2 linked regions of the Stegostoma tigrinum genome follow. The protein of the gene in region 1 purifies or fractionates together with the protein of each later gene. This does not show direct contact. Links are inferred from orthologs where the notes say so. Each region holds a gene or a part of one and is shown on either strand. Other genes may lie near its edges.

Evidence for each region. The genes of interacting proteins can lie anywhere in the genome.
Region 2: the proteins of nuclear factor NF-kappa-B p100 subunit-like (region 1) and nfkbiab purify together in Homo sapiens (affinity purification with mass spectrometry; 6 studies listed by BioGRID and IntAct, counting the BioPlex papers as one, with this or other methods). This does not show direct contact. The link is inferred for Stegostoma tigrinum from reciprocal best matches to the Homo sapiens genes NFKB2 and NFKBIA.

The regions. Positions count from the first base shown.
Region 1 is NC_081390.1:1,059,594-1,067,065, forward strand, and holds the start of nuclear factor NF-kappa-B p100 subunit-like, read right to left. Parts: upstream 3,055-7,472; 5' UTR 2,702-3,054; coding exon 2,670-2,701; intron 1-2,669. UniProt on the Homo sapiens protein: NF-kappa-B is a pleiotropic transcription factor present in almost all cell types and is the endpoint of a series of signal transduction events that are initiated by a vast array of stimuli related to many biological processes such as inflammation, immunity, differentiation, cell growth, tumorigenesis and apoptosis.
Region 2 is NC_081363.1:55,992,000-56,000,068, forward strand, and holds the start of nfkbiab (nuclear factor of kappa light polypeptide gene enhancer in B-cells inhibitor, alpha b), read right to left. Parts: upstream 3,042-8,069; 5' UTR 2,864-3,041; coding exon 2,604-2,863; intron 2,011-2,603; coding exon 1,902-2,010; intron 1,573-1,901; coding exon 1,362-1,572; intron 1,090-1,361; coding exon 1,001-1,089; intron 879-1,000; coding exon 630-878; intron 427-629; coding exon 373-426; 3' UTR 1-372. UniProt on the Homo sapiens protein: Inhibits the activity of dimeric NF-kappa-B/REL complexes by trapping REL (RELA/p65 and NFKB1/p50) dimers in the cytoplasm by masking their nuclear localization signals.

The DNA of each region.
Region 1 (7,472 bases):
TTGGTTACAAAATTTGCTTGAAGGTTGGAAACAGAGGGTAGTGGAGGAAGGTTGTTTTTTGGACTGGAGGCCTGTAACCAGTGGTGTATTTGCAAGGATTGGTGCTGGATCCACTGCTTTTTGCCATTTACATCAAGCAGTTAACTGTGAATATAAGAGGAATAGTTAGTAAATTTACAGGTGACATCAAAATTGATGGTGTAGTGGACAGTGAAGAAGATTTTCTCGGAGTACAATGGAACCTTGATCAGGTGGACTAATGGACTGGCAGATCGAGTTTAAATTATATAAATGTAAGATGCTGCATTTTGGCATGGCAAACCAGGGCAGGCCTTATATACTTAATGGTAGGGCCCTGAGGAATGTTGCTGAAAAAAGTAACCTTGGAGCATGGGTCCATAGTTCCTTGAAAGTGGAATCACAGGTAGAAAGGGTAGGGAAGAATGCATTTGGTACGCTTGTCTTTATTGGCCAGTGCATTGAGTATGAGTTGGGAGGTCATGATGTAGCTGTTCAGGACATTGGTTAGGCCACTTTTAGAAATTGCAATCAATTCTGGTCTCCCTGCTATAGGAAAGATGTCGTTAAACTTGTAAACCTTTTCTGAGCCCTTTCAAGGACATTGCCGGTATTAGAGGGTTTGAGATTTAGGGAGACACTGAATACGCTGGGGCTATTTTCCCAGGAGCCTTGCAGGCTGAGGGATGACCTTTGAGAGGTTTATAAAATCATGAGGGGCATGGATAATTTGAATAGCCGAGGTTTTTTCCCAGGGTAGGGAAGTCCAAAACTGGAGGGTTTAAGGTGAGAGGGAAAAGATTTAAAAAGGATGTGAGAGGTAACTTTTTTCACACAGAGTGTGGTGCGCATATGGATTGAAATGCCAGAGGAGGTAGTGGAGGCTGGTGCAATTACAACATTTAAAAGGCATCTCGATGGATACATAAATAGGAAGGGCTTTGAGCAATATGGACCAAATGCCGGCAAATGGGACTAGATTAATTTGGGATATCTGGTCGGCATGGATTAAATTGGACTGAGGGTTTGTTTCAATGCTGTACAGCTCTATGACTCTAAATGAAGGTTTAATTGGCTTTAAATTGGAGAAGCTGAGAAGCAGCAATATCAGATTATAGTGAATATGTGTTGAGTAATAAATGCTGGCTAGCCAAGAATGCCCATTTCCCCCGAATGAATTTTAAAAACCCTCTCAAAATCCCCTGAAAAGGCCCCAGCATTTTGGAAAGCTGCAAATATAACAACTTTATTCAAGAACAGAGAGAGACGAAAAACACTATCCCAATAGTTTGACACTTGTCAAAAGGTAAACACTAGAATCCATCATTAAGTTGGGCATTCAGAGACCTTAAATTAAGAAAAAGACTACTTGTGTCACTTCCACATATAAAATTGGCAAATATTCCAGTAAATTCAGATCTAATGCTTGCAGGGGGTGGTATTCCTAGCTATCTATTGCCTTTGTCCTTCCAGATGGAAGTGGTCATAGGTTTGGAAGATTCTGTCTAAGGATCTTTGGTGAAGTAGTCCATTCAGCCTATTGTATCTGCTCTGCCATTCGATTAGATCAAAGCTGAATGATCTCAGCTTTGTGTATATTTCATGACTTGCTTCAACAACTCACTGTGATAAAGAATTCTGCAAATTCCACAAACACTTAGAGAAGAAATTCCTTCTTACCTTTGTCTTAAATAAGTAATTTCTTACTTTGAAATTATGCTGTCTGATCCTAGATTACCCCACAGGTGGAAACAACCTCTCCACACCTACCTTGTTGTTATAACGTGGAGATAGACAGCCAAACCAAATCACACTTTCTACCTCTGTATTTGCAACTCAGTCAATTTAAACTGTCAGAGACTGTCAATAGTTAACCCCAACAGTCCCCGAACAGACTTTTGAATAGTCAAACTCAGACTGTGTGAATAATTAATTCTGGACACCAGTTTTGATTCTTAAACAAAAGACAAGTACTTATTAAATATGCAAGAACTTTAGCAGAAAGAAAATTAAACAACGTTAATCTCATTAATGTCTATACTTTAAACCTGAAACATTTGGTTTCAACCCACATTCATGCAAAAGAACATAGAACATAGAACATTGAACAATACAGCGCAGAACGGGCCCTTCGGCCCTCGATGTCGTGCCGACCTGTGAACTAATCTAAGCCTCTCCCCCTACACTATCCCATCGTTATCCATATGCTTATCCAAGGACTGTTTAAATGCCCCTAATGTGGCTGAGTTAACTACATTGGCAGGCAGGGCATTCCACACCCTTACCACTCTCTGAGTAAAGAACCTGCCTCTGACATCTGTCTTAAATCTATCACCCCTCAATTTGTAGCTATGCCCCCTTGAAAAAGCTGAAGTCATCATCCTCGGAAAAAGACTCTCACTGTCCACCCTATCTAATCCTCTATCATCTTGTATGTCTCTATTAAATCCCCTCTTAGCCTGCTTCTCTCCAATGAGAGCAGACCCAAATCCCTCATCCTTTCTTCATAGGGCCTGGGTCCCAGACCAGGCAACATCCTGGTAAATCTCCTCTGCACCTTTTCCACCTTTTCTTAGATTGTCAAAGGTAGACAAATAAACATAGTTAGGGGATAAATAAAAGGAAATCACAAGACAGGTTAGATTACTTACGTGATTTTCGCAATGTGTTGTTGCATAGGCATAGATGTGGACTCCTTGGTTACTTTTCAGGAACCACCAATCAGGATCACCTTAGTTTACTCAGGTAAAGGTGGCAATATTTGCAGCTTAGCTTTCTACTCTCTGGGCATCTAAAAGCCAGTGTGGGAGATTGGGCAGAGAGCTTTCAAATATTCATGTTGTGATGTCAGCAGCCACACTTATCTCCTCCTGGAAACAGTTCGACCACAACCCAGACTCTTGTTCCACCATGATAGACTGGAACGTCTTTTCCCGAGGCCGCAATTACCATTCAACATCTTCCATCTGCTTGAGTGTGGGGTTGCTTCCAGACTCGCTGAACCAGTTCCCAAATACTGACCTCATCTGTGGAAACCTTTCTAATCAAGAATCAGCCTGCTGTTAACCTCCAGGGCTGGCCTCACAAGCAAACAGAAACTTGTTTGTTCTGTCTTTTCCTTTTACCACAAGTTGTTCCAAAGTCCGCAAGTTATTCTCAGCTCATAACTCCCAGTTCGCAGCTCTGAATCAAAATTGATGAAAGAATAAAAATAAAAATAATGAAAAATCAGCGACGGTTCTGACTTTGTCTACCTAAGAATCTTCAATAAGGTTGTCTCTTATTTTTCTATATTCTAATAAATACAGACCCAACCTACTCAACCTCTCCTCATAAATAAATTGCTCCATCCCCGGGAGCAAATGAGAGAACTTTCCCTTGACCAGTTTCAATGTCGGTATTTATTTCCTTAGCTAAGAGGACCAAAATTGTTCACAGTACTCTAGGTGTGGTCTAACTCATGGCTTCGAAAGTTTCAAGAAGACTTCCCTATTTTATAATTGTTTTATTATTTTTCATTCATGGGATGTGGGTGTTACTGACTAGCCCGGCATTTATTGCCTATCCCCTAAATGCTCAGAGGACAGTTAAGAGTGAATTTCTGTGTGTCTGGAGTAATAGGTATACCAGACCAGGCCAAAGCAGCAGATTTCCTTTCCTACAAGGCATTAATGAGTTGGATTTTTACAACAATCTGCAGTAGTTGCATGGTCATTACTAGACTAGCTGTCTACGGCAGATTTTTATTACAACATCTGCCGTGATGGGATTCAAACCAAGAGCCCCAGAACACTGGCCTAATATTCTGGACTAGTAGCCAAAGGTGTCCCCTAGATGAAATGCTCCATACATGGATCTTGCTGCAACCTTGCTGTATTTAGCACCAAGCTCTAACTGACTGAGCTAACTGGCCAAGACAAATCCTTTCCCTTTAAAATGAATGCCAACATTCTGTTTGCCTTCTCTATTACCTGCCAACCTAGTTTTTTTGAGATTTATGCACAAAGACTCCCAAATTCATTTTTGCTGCAGCATTCTGCCGTCTTTCTCCATTTAAGTAACAGCCAGCTCTACTATCCGCCTCCCCCTCTCTCCCTATTTATTTCAGAACCTCCTTCCTCTCCCCCATTTCTGAAGAAGTGTCTAGGCCCAAAACATCAGCCCTCCTGCTCCTCTGATGCAGCTCGGCCTGCTGTGTTTATCCAGCTCTACACCTTGCTATCTCTTTATCTTCCACTGCATTACATTTAGGGAAAAAGTACACTTTTGGAATTGAAGAAAGACAAGTCACCAGGGCTTGATGGTATGTATCCTAGGATCTTAAAAGAGGTGGCAGCAGAACTAGTGGATCAGTTGGTTATAATTTATGGAAAAAGCCTGGATATGAGAGGTTCCAGTGAATTGGAAAGATATCCAAAAAAGCGAAGTAAGCAGTAAGTAGGAAACTATAAACCAAGCTATTTTGTATGTTTCATTTGTTTCATTATATTAAAGAAATATAACAGATATTTGGGAAGCCAAAATGCATCCATCAGAGTCAGTATGGTTTATGAAGGGTAAATCATACATGACTAGCTTGCTAAGCTTTTCCAAATATGCTTTTAATTGGATGGGGGAGCCCAAAACTACAGGGCACAGTTTAAGGTAAAAGGGAAAAGATTTAAAAAGGACCTGAAGGGTAACTTTCTCATGCAGAGGGTGGTGTTTGTATGGAATGAGCTGCCAGAAGAAGTGGTAGAAGTGGGTACCATTGCAAAATTTAAAAGGCACCTGGATGGGCATATAAGAATCACAGAATCCCTACAGTGTGGAAACAGGGCCCTTTGGCCCAACAAGCCCACACCAATCCTGAGAGCATCTCTCCCAGACCCATTCCCCTATAAGCTGCCTAATCTACACATCCCTGAACACTTTGGTCAATGTAGCATGGCCAATTCACATAACCTGCATATCTTTGGACTGTGGGAGGAAACCGGAGCACCCGGAGGAAAGCCACGCAGGCACAGGAAGAATGTGCACACTCCACACAGACAGTCACTTGAGGCTGGAATCGAACCCTGTGGTGAAGCAGCAGTGTTAACCACCGGGCGACAATGCCGCCCCATTTTTTCTTCTTCTTTTAGGAATAGAAAGCATTTAAAGGGATATGAAACTAGAGCAGATTGGAATGTCTGGCGCAGACCAGTTGGACCGCAGGGTCTGTTTCTGTGCTGTATGAATTTGTGACTCTTTGAATTACCACATTGAACCAAATTCCCGGACATACTGAATCATCCTTTGTCTATTTATCAGGCAAAGGTACCTTCATGTTTGCTCATGTTCCTTAGTGTCCATTGGATTTAAAAATCCCTCAGGCAAGTAATTTTTTAAGCTTAGTTCCTACTACAGAATTCAATACCCCTCATTCAAGCAATTGATAAATAACTTACGAATCAAGCTGTTTTAACTTAATTAAAGATTTTGACTTCAGGACTGAATCTGACCTCTACTCAACGTTACACTTGAAATAGATTCACCTGTTGGATTTGCACTTTGAACCAAATTCACAGCTATATTCATTTAGTCATTTTCTCACTTGGGCGAAGATTGGAAGCATTACAGCATTGCTCAAAATCTTCTCCAGAAACAATTTCAGCGATCTAGGAATCTAAAACCCTTCTTCTTGCACCAACTTTTGAACCATGCATTCATCTGCCCTATTTTCCTATTTCTGTACTCATTTGCACATGGCACTGGCAGGAATGCAGAGATAACAAACTTTGAAGCCCTCCTTCTCAATCTACTCCCTAGCTCCCTGAATTCTTGATGCAAGACCTCATCTTTTATTCTCCCTATGTCACTGGTACCAATGTGTGCCATGGCCTCTTACCGCCCTCCCCCTTTCTGAGTGTCCTGCAGCTGCTCAGTGACATTCCTGACCCAGCTCCAAAGAGGCAATTCATTACCCTGAAGTCACATCTGCAGCTGCATAAACACCTGTCTGTTGCCCAAACGTGAAATCTTCTATCATTAGCTTTGTTCCTTTCTTCCTCAAGCCGCTTGTGGTGCCAGAACCCTGTCTCTGACTACATTCCTTTGAGACATCACCACCCCCCTCAGCTTCCAAAATGGGAAATTGATTTGTCAGCAGGGCCACAGCAGACTCCTGCTCTACCTGCCTTATCCTCTTTCCCAGGTGACCATCCCTTCTTTTCTTCCCTCCAGCCCCTTCTGCTGTAGGGTGACTACCTCTCTAAATGTGTTATCCATGTAAGCCTCAGCTCATGGATTTTCCACAGTGTCTCCAGCCACTGTTCAAACTCTTCTCAAGTTTGCATTTGGGAGCACTTCCTTTAGGCATGGTCATCCTTGATTCTAGTAGGGTCTGTGTTTCCCCATGTGACCAATCACACATTCCTCTTGGCTGCCCTCTCTCAATTTTTCCAAATGAAAAGTGTGGTAGCAGTTATCTGGATGTGTCCCAGTTATGCCTTTCCCTTTGTGGGGAATGAGGAGCATTCATTTTCCAGTCCTACTTGGACTTCCTCCCACACACTTTCTCCAAAATATCGATGATGTCATCAGTGCCATTTCTTTCTCTCATTAAGAATTAACAAAAAAAATCAACTTTACTTCCAATTTCTATCTACCTTCACCAACTCACCTCTGATTCTTCCCTTCCTTGATTGTCAGTCTCTATTTCCAAAGATAGGCTATCAACCAATATTCTTTACAAACCCATTAACTCCTATAACTACCTTGACTACAGGTCTGCACTCATTGCTTTCTGTAAATATTCCACCCTTTGTCCCAGTTTTTTCTATCTCCATTGCATCTATTTCAATAATGCTAACTTCCAAAATGGCACTTCTGATATATCTTTGTTTTTCTTTAACCAAGGAGTCTCCTCTGCCGTCCCTCTGTGGTTGACAGGGCCCTCAACTATCTAACCCATTTCCCACACTTCTTCCTCAACCCTTTCCCTCCCTTTCTGGACCACAGCAGGATTTCCCATGACTTCACTTGCCTCTGCATTCAAAGGATCATCCTCCGCCATTTCCGTCACCTTGAGCAGGATACCATCCCAAACACACTGGCCTTTCCCTTCCATTGTCAGCATTCCAAAGGACTGCTCCATCTATGATTCATTCTTTTGTCGTTTCTAATACCCATTCACCTAAACGTAGCGCCTTCCTATACAATGCCGAAGATGTTACACTTTCCCCCTTTATCTCCTGTCTCCTCGCTGTCCAAGGTGCCAAACATAACTTTGCTTGCATTTCTTTCAATCTAGTTGACTGTTGTCACTGTTCACAATGTGGTCTCTTCTACATTGGTGAGACCTGGGTAACAATCTGGCTAGGAGGGTGAATAGCTGTTAATGGAGGCTGGGTGCACATTTTGCTAACACCTCTACCCTGTCCACAAGCATGGCCCTGGCATTTCATCTTCTTGTCATTTCACAGATTGAACAT
Region 2 (8,069 bases), on another chromosome or scaffold:
AAAATTACAATATTTTACACATTTACAATTTTTACACAATACAAATATGCACAAGAACTTAAATGTTGAAAAATCTTTTCAACCAGTTATAATAATTGAAAACAGCACATACAACGGTATCACTTGCACAATAGTATATAATTTACATCTAAGATTTGTAGCACTGCATTCTCCACTTCTGAAAAGATTTTTATTTATATTACAAACTATTTAGAATATCAGACCGTGCCACCCAACTGTGTGACTTAGAAATCTTAGTGTATGTCACTGAAGCTTTTCATCAAACCAAATGGTTGGGCAACCACACTTTGATATGCATATTTAGTTCTTTTCAGATGACTTGAAATACAGCAATGCACAAAGAAAGCATCTTCAACACCTGAGCGGGCGTCCTCCAATTGCACAGTCATCGTAAGAGAAAGGTATCTGGGGAAATAATGAATGACACATTAGCAACAATATCAGTGACAAACATCTTTACACTGATACCTCAGATTATAGAAATAATTTATCAAGATGATGGTTTTTATTCTAAAAGACATGTTTGTGTAGAGGTGAACAACCAATTACTGTAAATCTAATCTTTAAGCATTTCAGTGGCTATAATAGTCTATTTCCAGCACACTCACCTCATGGTCAGGAGTTTCAGATTCCCATATCTTTTCTTCATCCCACATCATACATAGAGATGGATCTGTCACATGGATAAGTTCTGTCTGTATCCTAGAATTCTCTCTTCCCAAGGTCAGATGATACGGTGTACAACCATTGTAAGTGAGCACATTGGGGTCTGCTCCACACTGCAGCAAAAGTGACACCATTTCAGCATCCTGCTCCTCCACTGCAAGATGGAGAGCTGTCCGACCACTTGATGGCTCCTGTGCAGAAAACAAACCTTACAGTTACTACATACCATGAAAGTGAATGCCAGAAAGTAACTGTTTAATTTGCCATCAATTGAGAGATTATCATTATTTAGGAAATTAAAACTTTATTATACCTGAGCGTTAATATCAGCTCCAATCTGAATTAGATAGACCACCATCTTGTGAAGTCTGTTTTTGACTGCCAGCTGCAAACATGTAAGGCCTAAAATGGGAAAATGAAGAAGTCTCAGATATGTGCAACAATAAATATTCATTGTCCAATATATTAATTAGTGATTATTAGTGATTGACATTACAGCTTTAATTTGCATATTTATCTAAAAAAAGTAGCTAGTCACAAGAAAGCAGCTACAGCAATTGCTTTTAAAGAAATTAGACATTATATTTAATAATAATTTAATGTTTTGAAAATGCATAATTTATTTTAAAGAATGGAATTCATATTTGAGCTGCACATATAAAAGGCAAATGTACCATTGTAATTCTTGTTGTCCAAAAGTTCTCGGGTATGGTGTCTTGTGAGGAAATCGCTGATGGTTTTCACGCACAAGAACATATTCATCTCACAAGCGATGTGTAAAGCTGAGTTCCCGTTAATGTCCTTCAATCCCAGATCTCCTCCAGCCCACAACAAGGCACGTAGCATATCAGGCTGCTGTGTGATCACTGCCAGATGCAAGGGTGTCTGAACAAAACAGAACAAAAGAATTACAGTGGGAATACTGCAGGGTAAACCATGGAAACACACAATACGAAGGAAAACTGCAGTGTTTTTTAACGCCCCACGCCAGTATCCACAGCATTTATTAATATGGTGGGGACTTTCCAATGCAAACAGGAACCACCTATTTAGCTGCTTCAGGCAGAACAATACATTCTCATAAGATTATAATTAATCTAGCACAGTCCCCAATTTATTAAATACAAAATAGTAATGTCAGCGTTTTGCATAAAACTTATTAAATATTAATATATATTCCCAAATATTTGTATTAATCAGTTGAAAATATTTACCTGTTTCAGGTTATTCTGACGATGAAGGTACTGATCGCCAGACTGGGTATTGGCGAGGATTTGGGATACGATTTCTTTGGCTGTATGGATGATCGCCAAATGCAGAAATCTAAAAGGAGGAAAATGTCATGTTAAAACTTGCTACATCGGGGAAACTCTGCACAGCAGCTCAGCACTAAAGACTGGAACTCTCCAGGATTGCGCAAGGTCGGGTTTTTTGGGTACTTTCCACAGTTAAATATTTATCAGACAACCACTAGCTGGCCGCCTGCCAGGGACTTTCCAGCGTCAAACAGGAACTGTACCGCCCAGCGCAGTTACTGCTAGAACATGATGTTCTCAAAAAGCCTTTCAACAGATTCCATGCCCTCAATAGAGATTAGTTTATTTAACACCCTGTTCAGCTTTTTTTAAAAAAAAACTTTAAATCCACTTTCATCTGAAAAATAATTACAATGAAACTTTTCTATTAAATATTATATTTGCATACTGGATACTGTCTTGACATTTAACTGGTAGGGTTCTGCAAACCTTCAGCGTTTGGTAAATTGCTGTTTTAGAGACGTATTAATTCTTCCAACTTTACTTTCTCCAATCAGGGGGTTCTGGGGCAACATGCATTGCTCAGTTTCTGTATACCCAAACACCCGCCCCCCACCAAGACCCTTACTCTACTTTTAAAAAGGCCTCCAAGTCACTTACGTATCTCCATCCTCCGAGATGAAATCTTTCCAACACTGGGTTGGCTCCGGTTTGTCGTCCAGGCTCAGCTCCTGGATCTCCCGTAGAACCTCCTCGTCCTTCTCATTCATTGAGCCGATGCCGCTGTCACACCGCTCCTCCCAAAGCGGAGCCTGTTTGCCGACTCCGGGGTGCAACGAGCCGCCCGAGTAATCTAGTTTCCCATTGCCGCGATTATCCAAGATGTCAGCGCGGTTATTAAATATGGTAGGATCGGCCATGACTTTTGCACAGTAAGAGTATCCCAGTGAAGTAGACAAGCAAACAAAAACTCAACCCAAACAGGCAACGGATAAAAGACGCTGCCAAATTCACCACACGCAAATAACTCCTCTGCCACGTCTCAGGACTGCAGACGTTACTCTGCGCGACAACATTTATAAACTCCAGTTCGGGGCTTTTTCTGGGCGGAGCTTTCATGTCACCGCCTCCAAGCTCCAGTTGCCTTTTTGGCTGGGAAATTCCAAAGCAGTTAATGTGCTCAATTAGAAAAAGAACGCAGTGTACCGAATGGAACAAGGAGGGAAAATCCCTCAATAGGCCGCAATTCAAAAATACACAGGGCATCCCAGAAGGAAGAACTCAGCTTCGCATTTAATTACATTTAAGGGTTTGTTCTCATAACTATTAGCGTGAAGTTTGTCTACGATGCACATTATTCTGCACTATCTTCTTTTTTATTGGTTTACGTTTGCTGAAGCCCTTCCGGTTTCTTTTCTGTTGAACGTTGAAGTAGGTGGAAATTTCGGAAGCTGTGTGAAAATATTAAAGAAAGTCCCATTCGTTGCTGTGTGTACCGTGGCATGGGAACATCCCGGCCAAAAAGAAAATGGCAGGGGTGTGTGTGGTATTTGGCACTCAAGGTTATGCATTCTGTTAATCATCCCCAAACCAGTACCCTGGAAAGTTTACATGGGAGGGGGGAATTTAAGCGAGGGTGGTTTTGAAACAAGATGACCTTTGATTTTCTAATTAATGAGTTTTGGGGTGAGGAGCAGGGGGAGTACATTGTTTGCACCAAGCCAATTCATTACTGTCTGGCAATTGCACTGCTCATCGTTTGCAAATTGCTAAATACGTACAACATTCAGACGGTGGATTAAAATAACTTTTCATTAATTTTCTCAAAGCAAGTTCCAATATTTTGCTCACTTAAATCTCCTGTGTAATACATCTAAGCAATTTAGACTATCAAAAGAAAACTTAGATTGCAATAATTTGATTCCTCACAATTTGTTCTTTAGGTAAATTTTATTTAATGTTGCCAACTAATTTTAGCGAATGCATTAAAACAGAAGCATGCAGATGGTTAAAGAGACAAAGTACCTTGTCATCAGCTTTTATTTTCTTATTGCCACAGCAAGGGGTATTACTATATCAAAATACAGTTGAAGACCATGACGAACTCTTGTTTGTGTAGTAATATAAAATTTACAATCAATTTGAAATGCATCTCCCAAGAAATAAAAACTTCCCCATCATAAAATTTGCACAGTCCGTATTAAAAGAACAAGCAAAGGGAAATACAAAACATAGTTCTTCATCAATTAATATCAGACTAATGAAATGTTTGTTTTCGGCATTCCGTCCTAAAACTGTGAACATTTTGCTGCCTCCCAAATCATGTCCGTGTTTCCCACAATTCCATATTTGTCACTCTCTCATGAGCCCTGCTGCATCACAAAACCAAATTTTATCAAAATCACAAGTTACATTCTACATAATTATGACAGTGGTACACTAATTTTCCTCAACTTTTTCAACCTGCTTGTGGCCTTTAACATGATCGTTATTGTTCAGTTGGCCAGAAGTGGTCTTGCTCTGTTCTAGTCTTACCAATCCGGTCGTAATCAGCAAACCTGCTGCAGTGGCTTCCCTTCTTGTCAACCGATCTTTATGCTGAAAGTCTTTGTAGGTCTCCCCTCCAATTTCCATTCACATTTCCTTACGAACATGAGCAGAAATTATCACATTGGATTCCATAAATATTCTGACAATACTCACCTCTACTTTCTCCAGGCTTTTATTATCTCTGTATTGTTAGACTGCTTGTTAAATGCCCAATCCTGGATAAACTCAATTTCTCAAATTAAACATTGGAAAGACTGAAGCGATTGATGTCTACTACCGTAGAGTCACAGAACCGAGCAGATCGCCCATGCCAAACAAGTTTCTCAAACTAAACTAGTCCCATTTGCCTGAATTTGGCACATATCCTTCCAAAACTTTCCACATACCTGTCCAAATGTCTTTTAGATGTGGTAACTGTACCTGCATCCACCACTTCCTCTGGCAGTTCATTCCACACACAAACCACCCTCTGTGAAAACTTTGCTCTTTGGGTCCCTTTTAAATCTTTCTCCTCTCACCTTAAAAATGTGCCACCTTAACGAGAACTCCCACCCCTGGAAAAGACCTTTGCTACTCACCTTATAGATGCCCGTCATGATTTTGTAAATCTCACCTCTTAACCTCCTATGCTCCAGTGAAAAAGCTCACATTCTATCCAGCCTATCCTTATAATTCAAATCCCCCAGTCCCAGCACAGTGGTTCAGTAGTTAGCACTGCTGTCACCCGGGTTCGATTCCATATTTGGGTGACTGTCTGTGTGGGTTTCCTCCGGGTGCTGTGGTTTCCTCCCACAGTCCAAAGATGTTCAAGTTAGGTGGATTGGCCGTGCTAAATTGCATAGTGTCCAGGGATGTGTAGCTTCGGTACAGGGGGGTGAGTCTGGGTAGGATGCTCCAAGGGTCAGTGTGGACTTGTTGGGTCGAAGGGCCTGTTTCTACACTATAGGGATTTTATGATCTAATTATTTTCTGAACGCTCTCCAATTTAATAATAGCATTCCTATAACAGAGCGCTGTGGCCTCACCCTTATTCTCTAGCTGTGCAGCTCCATAAGAGCTCTTAATATGGAACACAGAACAGTACTACAAAGGAACAAGCCCTTTGGCCTGCAATGTTGTGCCAAACATGACATCACGTCAAACTAATCCCCTCAGCTCTTGGTCCCTATCCCTCCATCCCTTGCATGTTCATGTGCTTTTCTCAAAGTCCAATAAATGTCCCTGTCGTATCTGCCTCCCTACTCCTAGCAGCATGTTCCAAACACCTACCACTCTTGATGTAAAAAAACTTGACCCTCAATTTTCCTTTGAACTTTTTCCCTTTCACCTTAAATGAATGCTCCCTAGAATAGGACATTTCATCTCCAAACAAAAGATTCTGACTATCAACCCTATGTACGCGTTTCATAATTTTATAGACTTCTATCAAGTCTCCCTTCAGTCTCACTGCTCCAGAGAAAACATCCCTACTTTTCCTATGCTCTCCTTACAGCTTGTACACTCAAATCCAGGCAGCATCCTGGTAAACCTCTTTGGCACCCTCTCCAAAATCTTCACATCCTTCCTGTAATGTGGCTATCAGAACTGAACACAATACTTAAGTGCAGCCTAACCAAAGTCTTATAAAGCTGCAACATGACATCCTGACACTTGTACTAAATGCCCTGACCAATAAAGGCAAGCATGCCATATGCCTTCTTTACTACCCTGTCCACTTGTGTGGTCAAAACAAACCCCACTAGACACTGGCCTCTTGCATAACTCCCATTTCATTCATCCCATCACTGATGCCTCGGTTTTCAGTCAACCAAGCACTAAACTTTGTAACTGCTTGAATGAGTGGTTAATGTAAATTGTTCAAATCAGACTCTATTCCATATATTGTAATTTCCACCTTGTGCAACAAGATAATGCTGAATGCAGCTGAAATCAGGCACACCCATGCCAAAGATTGGGGAATTTTAAATATGGTAAATTGCACCCAAAATTACTGAGTTCATTTTTCTGACATCTCTTCCACTGGTTTGGGATTCAATTCATTTGATTCAAGAGCTCACCTATAAAACTGGCCATGCTCTAATTATAATTGACAGATTCTGACAATTGCATTGATTGGAGAAAGTGCTTCAAATTATGTTCTGTTTCTTCAGTTCACAGACAGGAAACCCAGGAAGATTTTTTCTCATCAAAAATAAACCACGTTGGAAACAGATTAGTGTACATCAGTGAAACTTCGAAAAGGTTCCATATTGTTTTAAGTTATCTTGTGTGGTTTTTAAACCACTCATTAAAAGTACTATTTTTGGTATTATATTGTTGGCTGGTAAAGTTGCTTCACGTTGCTACTTGCAAATCAATTTAACATTAAACATGAGCTGTAACACAAGTGCAGTTTCACATGCATTTTGGATGCAATTTCCCAATAATGTGGAAACTCAGGCATTTACATAAATTCAAGTAGAAATATGATGTACATAACACCCTTGAATATTTTTGAATTGCATGTGTTGCAATGTAGACTCCAGGCAACTGACTAGGACTACTTAGCAATGTGGGACATTCCATATCTGGGGAGGGGAAATGCTGACAAAGGTTTTCTTGCTACAGCTCTGCCTTCTGCTTGCAGCAACAGGAATGAACAGAGGTTAGTCATCAGACAAGACAGCCTTTAGACTGGCTGTTGGAGGCTTTATGAGAGCAATATGAAAACTCATTAACCAAACATTCGATTAGCCCAAATTCCAGAGGGTGCCCTCTGTTGGAACAGTATTTGTCTTTCACATCTTTATTATTCTTCTTGCTGAAACTTTTGTTTGTTACTCTCCTCAAGATGCTACATACTTTCGGAGGTACAAATCCATGGGAACTGGTTTTCCTCTAGCATTTATGCAAGAATTGATATTGACCTTAAATGTCAACTGTAGAGTGATAACCTATAAACCAATACTCATAGAGATGTACAGCGTGGAAACAGACCCTTCGGTCCAACTCATCCTTGCAAACCAGATATCCTAAATTAATCTAGTCCCATTTGCCAGCAATTGGGCCATATCCCTATAAACCCTGGATAATGAAGTGTGGAGCTGGATGAACACAGCAGGCCAAGCAGCATCTCAGGAGCACAAAAGCGGATGTTTCGGGCCTAGACCCTTCATCAGAGAGGGGGATGGGGTGAGGGTTCTGGAATAAATAGAGAGAGAGGGGGAGGCAGACCGAAGATGGAGAGAAAAGAAGATAGGTGGAGAGGAGAGTATAGTTGGGGAGGTAGGCAGGGGATAGGTCAGTCCAGGGAAGACGGACAGGTCAAGGAGGTGGGATGAGGTTAGTAGGTAGGAAATGGAGGTGCGGCTTGGGGTGGGAGGAAGGGATGGGTGAGAGGAAGAACAGGTTAGGGAGGCGGGGATGAGCTCGGCTGGTTTTGGGATGCAGTAGGGGAAGGGGAGATTTTAAAGCTGGTGAAGTCCACATTGATACCATTGGTCTGCAGGGTTCCCAAGTGGAATATGAGTTGCTGTTCCTGCAACCTTCGGGTGGCATCATTGTGGCACTGCAGGAGGCCCATGATGGACATGTCAT